2 linked regions of the Callithrix jacchus genome follow. The protein of the gene in region 1 interacts with the protein of each later gene in a biochemical or structural test. Links are inferred from orthologs where the notes say so. Each region holds a gene or a part of one and is shown on either strand. Other genes may lie near its edges.

Region 1 (3,960 bases):
AAGGATGAGCGGTGCTCATGTTACTGCATTCCAGCATGGGTGACAAAGGCCCTGTCTCAGAATCGAGAGAAAGACAGCAACTGAATCATGGAATACAGGGTACATGGCAGAAAGAATTATCACAATACTTGTGAATTTTCCACACCCCGTCCACAAACTTTGGCAATCTTCGCCTTCTGTCCTGGGCCAAGGAACTGAGCTCTTATCTGTTTTGAAAAGGTGGTGCTCAATATCAAAGTAAGTGCTGAGACAGAAAATCATTACACTGAGGTGTGAAACAAAAGGCTGAAAAGTGATTTCAATCACAGTTTGCCATCATGTTACTATGTGAAATGCAAAACCCTAGATACCATGCAGGTGGCATCAAAGTAGAATAGAATCTGGTTAAAGGCAAACACATGTGCATCAATATTCCCATCTCATATTACAATACTATTAAGCTGGCCAGAATGAGAAAGACCCAGAATAATTTGTGAATATAAAGACCCCATATTCATTTTTAAAAACTGTTATGTGCTGGGCCAGGAGTGGTGGCTCATGCCTGTAATCCTAATATTTTGGGGCAGGCGGTTCACCTGAGGTCAGAAGTTTGAGGCCTGCCTGGTCAACATGTTGAAACACCGCCTTTACTAAAAAAAAAATTAGCCAGGCGCAGTGGCGCGTGCCTGTAGTCCCAGCTACCAGGGCGGCTGAGGTGGGAGGATCTCTTGAGCCCAGGAGTTCTGGGCTGTAGTGCACTATGCCAATCCGGTGTCCGCACTAAGTTCAGCATCAATATGGTGACCTCCCGTGAGCGCGGGACCACCACGTTGCCTAAGGAGGGGTGAATCGGCCCAGGTCGGAATGGAGCAAGTCAAAACTCCCATGCTGATCAGTAGTGGGATCGCACCTGTGAACAACAGCCACTGCAGTGCAGCCTGGGCAACATAGCAAGACCCCGTCTCAATAAAAACAACAACAATAACAAAACAACAAAAAAATACAAAAATTAGTCTGGCGTGGTGGTGCGCGCCTGTAATCCCGGCTACTCGGGAGGCTGAGACAGGAGAATCGCTTGAACCCAGGAAGTGGAGGCTGCAGTGAGCCAAGACTGCGCCACTGCACTCTGGCATGGGCATCGGAACAAGACTCCATCTCAGAAAAAAGTAAAATAAATATTGGTATGTGTTAACCACAAAGAAACTGCCCATCCAGTTCTCTATTTCTGGCCAGAAAGTAACTCTAAATCAGAACTATCCTACAAGGGCAAGCGTACAAAGGCTGACTCAGGAGCTTCTAGATTCATAGGAGGCTAGCCCGGAGCTAGTCTAAGCTGGCAGAGAAGCTGCTTGGACTTGGCAACAGCGTGAAGGCACGAGAAGTCCTGACGCTGTTCCACAGACATACACATCTAACGGGACCTCAGAATGACTCTGCACCTCAGTCTCCAGCACTAAGGACACAAATCTACTCCCTTAACCCTCCCAAACAACTCAATGTCACCGGCAAGGCAGTCACCTCCCTGGGGTCCCCGGCAAGGAAACCCCGTGCAGACCATTCATGTCCTCTGCGCAGTCTGTTCCCAACATCCAGGAAGATCCAGCCCGCAGTCTCGGCTCACGGGGCAAGGTCACGCCCTGGAGTACACACGGACCCTGTTCAAGCCCAGGGAATATCAAGTTCCAGATCCTTCCAGGGATGGGGCTGTTTCCATTGCCTCACTTCTGGTTTACTTTCTGGAATAAGATGTCTTTCCTCCACTAAACACTGAGAACCAGAGCCTATAACAGCGGAGGGCAGCCTACGGGGACGCTTAGATCGCTCCGACACCGCCAACATGCCCCGACAGCGGGTCGGACTGGTTCCTGAAGGCGTCCTCCGATCACCCAGGCACTTAGTTCACCCCCTTCGTCCTCAACCGGGGAAGAGGACGGTGGAAGTATTTTGGAAAAATGCCCAAGAAAGGAAAAAACGGACCGGCTTCCTGAGGGTGTCTCCATCCCTCCCGGCCAGTACGTGGTGACTTCCCACCCCAGGCCACCAGGGGAGCACGGCCAAACCCGGCAGGAAACGATTCCAGCCTAAAAGCCACTTGCAGGATTACCGGATTCATTCTGGGCACCGCTGCCAAGGGATGCCCCCGCAGTGCCAACAGCTCCCTCGGCTCTTTGTCCGCACGCTGCCCTGCGCTCCCTCCCCGAGCGCCGGGCCCGGGAGCCAGCCCCACCCTGGGCCGAAGCAGTTCCCCTTCCCCGGGCCGCTCTCCGCAGGCACACCCAGGGGCCTCGGCCCGCGGCTCCTCCTCCCGACGCTCCCGCTCCCCGGCTGGGCGCCGCGGTCCCCCAGCCCTCGGCCCGCGACCCCCGAGGGTCCGCTGGAGCAGCAGCCGGCTGGGCTGCCAGTTCCGCGGGCCTCACCACGCCCAGCCCCCGCGTCCCGTCCGTCCCGTCCGTCCCTCACCGGACGGCGGCTGCGCGGGCGACGGCGGCACCGGCGGGCGCGGGCCGCTGCTGTTGATGATGTAGTGGGAGACGCGCGAGTTCTCGGACACGCTGAGTACATAGTCCCCGGGGCTGGTGCTCGAGTCCCGCACCAGGAAGACCCCGTGCCGCTGGCCCTGCAGCAGCGCCACCGCCTCCTGCCGACTCAGACGCCCCCAGTACCAGCTACTCCGCTCCTCCGAGTCGAAGTTGCCCGCCATGGCTGCCTCCGCGCCTACACGCTGGGCTGCCGCGCCGCGCGCGCCCCTCCTGCCCACGGCGCCCGCCGCCCAGCAGACCGGCTCCGGTTTCAACCTCACAGCAGCGCCCGAAATGGCGGCGGAGGCCGCGGGTCTTCCCCACCGGAAATGACGCGCTCCCTGCCCTGGGGAGGCTGCCGGGAAAGGGCCCGCCGCCCGCCATTGGGAGAAGGGCAAGGCGGCCTCGCGCGCGCACTGCGCATGCGGCCTCATGGGCGGTGCCGCCTGGCCGGGCCAGGGGCTGGGAGGCGGGGTCTAGGGCGTGGGGGCGGGGTCTCACCGCCTGCCGCAGAGATGTGCGCCTGCGCCACTGGCCGCGGTGGCCCTTCCCCCACCCCCCACAACCAGGCTATCGTTCACGGAAGGCCTGGGTCTTCTAGATAGCGACTCCCAGACAGAACTGGAGGAGAAAAGATGCATGTAACCCCCCCCCGAGTTTTCGGCCAGGCTTCCTGAAGTGTCGGTCTGTTTCTTTTTTTTGAGACGGAGTCTCGCTCTGATGCCCAGGCTGTAGTGCAGTGACGCGATCTCGGCTCACTGCAACCCCCGCCTCCGCCTCCCGAGTAGCTGGGACTACAGGCGCGCGCCACCACGCCCGGCTAATTTTTTTGGTATTTTTAGTAGAGATGGAGTTTCACCATGTTGGCCAGGCTGGTCTCGAACGTCTGACCTCGTGATCAGCCCGCCTGGGCATCCCAGTGTGCTGGGATTACCGGCAAGAGCCACTGCGTCCAGCTTCTTTTTTTTTTTTTTTTTTGGAGACGGATTCTCGCTTTGTCACCCAGACTGGAGTGCCGTGTCGCAGTCTCTGCTCACTGCTACCTCTGCCTCCCGGGTTCAAACGATTCTCCTGCCTCAGCCTCCCTAGCAGCTAGGACTACAGGTGCCCACCACCACACCCGGCTCATTTTTTAATTTTTAGCAGAGATGGGGTTTTCACGTTGTTAGCCAGCTGGTCTCAAACTCCTAACCTCAGGTGATCCACCCGCCTCGGCCTCCCAGAGTGCTGAGATTACAGGCGACAGCCATTTGCGCCCGGCCACGTCGGTCTGTTTGTGTGCATTCCTCTCGCTTCTCCGCTGACGTTCTCGTTTCCATTTATTCATTCAGCATATCGTTACTGACACTCTGCCTGCACTGTGGGTGCAAAGGTGATGGAGGCCAGGCCCTGCCCTCCTCCAACTCACAGACTAGTGAGAGGAACCAGGAAACTGGATGACAAAAGGATGACAAATGCTGAC
Region 2 (3,985 bases), on another chromosome or scaffold:
CAACCCTTCACGTCTTTCCTAGAATTTCCTGGCAAAACCATCCCAGATACTTTTTGCCTTTTAAAATTTTCCAACACAAAGTTTTCTTAAGTTTTTAAATTTTACTTTTTCTTAATCGAGCATGGAGTTTTCTTAAAACCAAAGTATTAGCAAAAGATGTGATGTTAGAAGTCACTACCATGAGTGCTGGTGAAGCTTCTGGAAGGTATGAGACTCAAGGGCTCACAGCCCCCTCCTCAAGGAGACCCTGCTCTCCTGTTCTTTTTGGTCTTCTCCTGTTCTTTTTGGCTACACTATAGGATGGATCCTCACTGACACCATTCAGGTCACCCTGGGAGCAGACGAAAGGGAAAAAGGTCTCCTTTAAAATGTAGTGTCCCAAAGAGAAGCCATCCCCATCTGCAGGCAAGGATAGGACACCGTGGCAGCTGAACCCAGGGTGGCCACACTTCACATTCAGGAGGCACCACTTACTAGTGATGTGAGTTCAAGCAAGCAATCCACCTCTTCCTTGCCTTTGTAGAATGGGAGCAGTGATGGTCCCTACCGCAACCCTGATGACCCCACTGCAACCTCATAGCCCCCACTGCACCCCAATGGCCCTCACTGTACCCTCATAGACCCCAATGCACCCCGATGGCCCCCACTGTACCCTCATAGCCCTCACTGCACCCCAATGGCCCCCACTACACCCTCATAGCCCCCACTGCACCCCGATGGCCCCCACTGCACCCTCATAGCCCCCACTGCACCCCGATGACCCCCACTGCACCCTCATAGCCCCCACTGCACCTCGATGGCCCCCCACCGCATCCTGATGGCCCCCACTGCATCCCGATGCCTCCACTGGATGCCAATGGCCACCACTGCACCCTGGCCATGGGCACTTGAGTTGCTTCCCCAGCAGGCCAGGGCCATGGGATGCCTGCTCCTCTGCCAGCCTCCTGCCTCTCCCACCCGTCCAGTTCCTCCTCCCTGTCTGCGTGCTGGTGCTAGGTTCCCTGGGAGTCAGTCCTCAGCTCTCTCCTCTACACATGCCCCCAGGAGGCTCTCCACCACAGGGACCCCCCACTGTCGCCACACCCCAAGTATTCTCAGCTGGAATCTCCACTCCAAACCTCCCTCCTCTGATGCAGACTGAAGGCACGTGCCAAGTGCCCCAGAATTTGAATCCATTCTGTGGCGCACAGGGTGCCAGTTACACCCTGAGTCTGCAGTCAGACAGACGAGCTCTCCTGCACTTCTGTGAACGTGCCTGAGCCTCCATTATCGCATCTGCAAAATGGGGCAATGGGGAGGGAGCTCAGCCATAATAGTCCTGAAGCAAGGAGGCCCCCTATGCCTCCCTGCACGTGGAACAAGCCAAGCGCAGGCCTGGTGGGACCCAGGGCTGTCCCAGGACTGTCCCCATGGCCACTGTCCAGTCGGCTCCTCGCTCAGGGCCCATTTTAAGTCATTGACACTTTGCCGTAAGAAGCGACTGTTCACAGAAAGGAGAGCGTCCCGGGGACAAGAGCTGCCAGGACGCTTCCCAAAAGTCAGAGGGCCAGGATTCGAACCACATCAGCAGAGGGGCGGGCAAATCACTGTCACCGGCAGTGCAGGCCATGCACGGGCCAGGCACAGAACGGGCACAGGGCTGCTGCTGAGACGGTGTCCTCGGAGGAATCAGCCTGTGGGAGGCGAGACCACCAAAGATTTTCCGAGTCTGGCCGAGCAGCCTGGAGGAGGCAGGAGGTCAAGGAAGCCTGTGGATTGTGGGACAGGGAAAGCAAGGCTGAAAACCAGCTGGAAAGATCCCGGACCCCGGAAAGCAGGACAGCAGCCACCGCCGGGCCAGAGACCAGGCACGCAGGTCCGGAGGAGGTGGACGTGCACAGGCCTCGGTGGCGGGTGCCCAGGGCGCGGGATGCGGGTCCCCGGAGGAAGGGTCCGTCTGTTCCACCACAAGAGAAAACCTCCCTCTCTGGAATGCACACTTGGGTCCGAAATGTAAACTTGCAACCCGACTCCCTCCATCCCCCTCGGAAGCGACAAAGAGCCGCGGAGAGAAAAACAAGGCCCCCCCTCTCCCGGACGGGTCTCCGGGCCCGGGGCCGCCGGGCCTTCTCGGCGAGGTCCCACACGGTCCCCGGCAAGACCGCCGAGGCTCTCGGGGCGCCGGCCGCCCGGGTCGCGCGCGCTCCTCCCCGCCGGGAAAGGGCGGAATTCTCTGCTCGGACCGCGCCGACCTGAGCCCGCCCACCCAGTGCCCGGACGCGGGGCGCAAGTTCATCCAAGAAGCAGAAGCCACCGCCGGACAGTGACCCCCGGGCTTCCCTGCCTGGCCCAGACGCGCCGGTGGCAGCGGCCGGAGCCGGGGAGTCGGGGCCGCCCGGGGGGCTCCGCCGCGGGGGTCCTGAGGAGCGGGCGTCGGAGGGGATCCCCTGGGGAGGGACGCCCCCGACCCCATTCCCACCGCACCCCCGCGGGTCCCGGGCCCGGATCCCCGGGCCTGGAGCGGGCGCTGCCGGGGGCTCGAAAAATCGGGACGGCCGGGGGCGCCGGGCACTGCGCGCGGGCGCGGGCGGAAGCGCCTCTCCCCGGCCCGGCGGCCGCTCGGGGCGGCAGCAACAGGCGCCCGGCGCTCCCGCCCCCCCTTCCGGAGCCAGGGCTTGGGGCGAGAGGCGCGGCGGCGGCGCTGCTCACCCACGCCGTACTTCTCCTCGCGCTTGGTGGGCACCCAGCGCGTCATGGCGCCGCCGGAGCCGCCGCGGGTCGGGCAGGAAACTCCGCGTCTAGGCCGCCATTTTCCATTCCTTTCGAGCCGCGACAGGATGGGGAGGAAAAAGTTTGCGGCGGAGGCGGCGTCATGTGGGACGGGGCGGGCGGAGCGTCGCGGGCCGGATGGGAAAGGCCGGGAGCGCTGGCGGGAGGCGGGACGGCCTTGGACTCTGCTCCCGCCCTCGGCTCGGACCCTCAGCCCGGACCCCGCGGCCGCCGGGGCGCCCCTTCCTCGGCCCCCGCGCGCCCAACCCCGCGCCCCGCACCCTGGCAACGCAGCGGGGGTCTCGTGGGTCCCTGGAGCTCCCGGGACTGGCGGTCACGCCGTGAGAACAGTGCGCCCTGGGGGGCGGGACGGGCTGGGGCTTCCACGCGATGTAGGAAAAGGGCGGCTTGCCCGGCGCGGACTTAGGCCGGAGCCTGGTGGTGCGAGGTCCCTGGCTCGGATTTCTCCCGAACCAACCGGCCGAGGCCCTAGGAAGGGCCCTCCTGAGCACGTGGCTCGTTCATTCATTCGACAAACATTACCTGAGCACCCGCCCACCCATTGCCCGAGTGTGCTGGGAGCGCCGCACCGGCCGGCTGGCAGGTGGGAAAAGGGACGCCTCGGGTAACAGCACGGGTAAGTGCCAGACACGCAAGTGGGGTGGAAAGAGGTGGCACAGCGCTGCTAGGGAGTGCGTTCCGAACAGGTGACCTCTTGCTTGGGTTCTGAATGAGTGGAGTTTTCCAGAGAGGCCAGGAGGAAGCAGCCCAAACCTCAGCCCAGCTGGGCTTGCAGAAGCTAGTGCTAGAATAGTTGTGGGACTCAGATCAGCTGAAGTAGAGGGGAGAGGGAAGCAGGGAAAGGAAAGCCCAGGCCACGCGTGGGACTCAGGAAAGGCATCCTCGCCCCTGGTGGGAGTTCTTCTCAGGCTTTGGTGTTTCCCATGCCAGTAAAAGGTAGGGGCTTCAGATTTCTCCAAGGAAAAAGTTAAAGCAACACACACCTATTTATTTTTATGGTAATTTCCTAAAAGAAAAGAGGCTAAAACCAAGAAATGGGCAAAGCCTCCGAATGAAGGCGGCCCTTTAAATGAAATGAATTTGGTTTCATGGCACATTAAGGGAATGTATTCTCTCATGGTACATTGATGGGGTATCTTCTCTCCCAAGACACGGAGACAACTGCAGTAGGTCTCAGGCCTCCTTCGATTGGAGGAACGAAGGGAAGAAAACGAAG

Evidence for each region. The genes of interacting proteins can lie anywhere in the genome.
Region 2: the proteins of CRK (region 1) and DOCK1 form a complex in vitro, tested with the Homo sapiens proteins (3 studies listed by BioGRID and IntAct, with this or other methods). The link is inferred for Callithrix jacchus from reciprocal best matches to the Homo sapiens genes CRK and DOCK1.

Annotation. Positions count from the first base shown.
Region 1 is NC_133506.1:66,780,136-66,784,095, reverse strand, and holds the start of CRK (adapter molecule crk), read right to left. Parts: upstream 2,801-3,960; 5' UTR 2,681-2,800; coding exon 2,440-2,680; intron 1-2,439. UniProt on the Homo sapiens protein: Involved in cell branching and adhesion mediated by BCAR1-CRK-RAPGEF1 signaling and activation of RAP1.
Region 2 is NC_133513.1:120,225,850-120,229,834, reverse strand, and holds the start of DOCK1 (dedicator of cytokinesis protein 1), read right to left. Parts: upstream 2,801-3,985; 5' UTR 2,735-2,800; coding exon 2,689-2,734; intron 1-2,688. UniProt on the Homo sapiens protein: Involved in cytoskeletal rearrangements required for phagocytosis of apoptotic cells and cell motility. Along with DOCK1, mediates CRK/CRKL regulation of epithelial and endothelial cell spreading and migration on type IV collagen.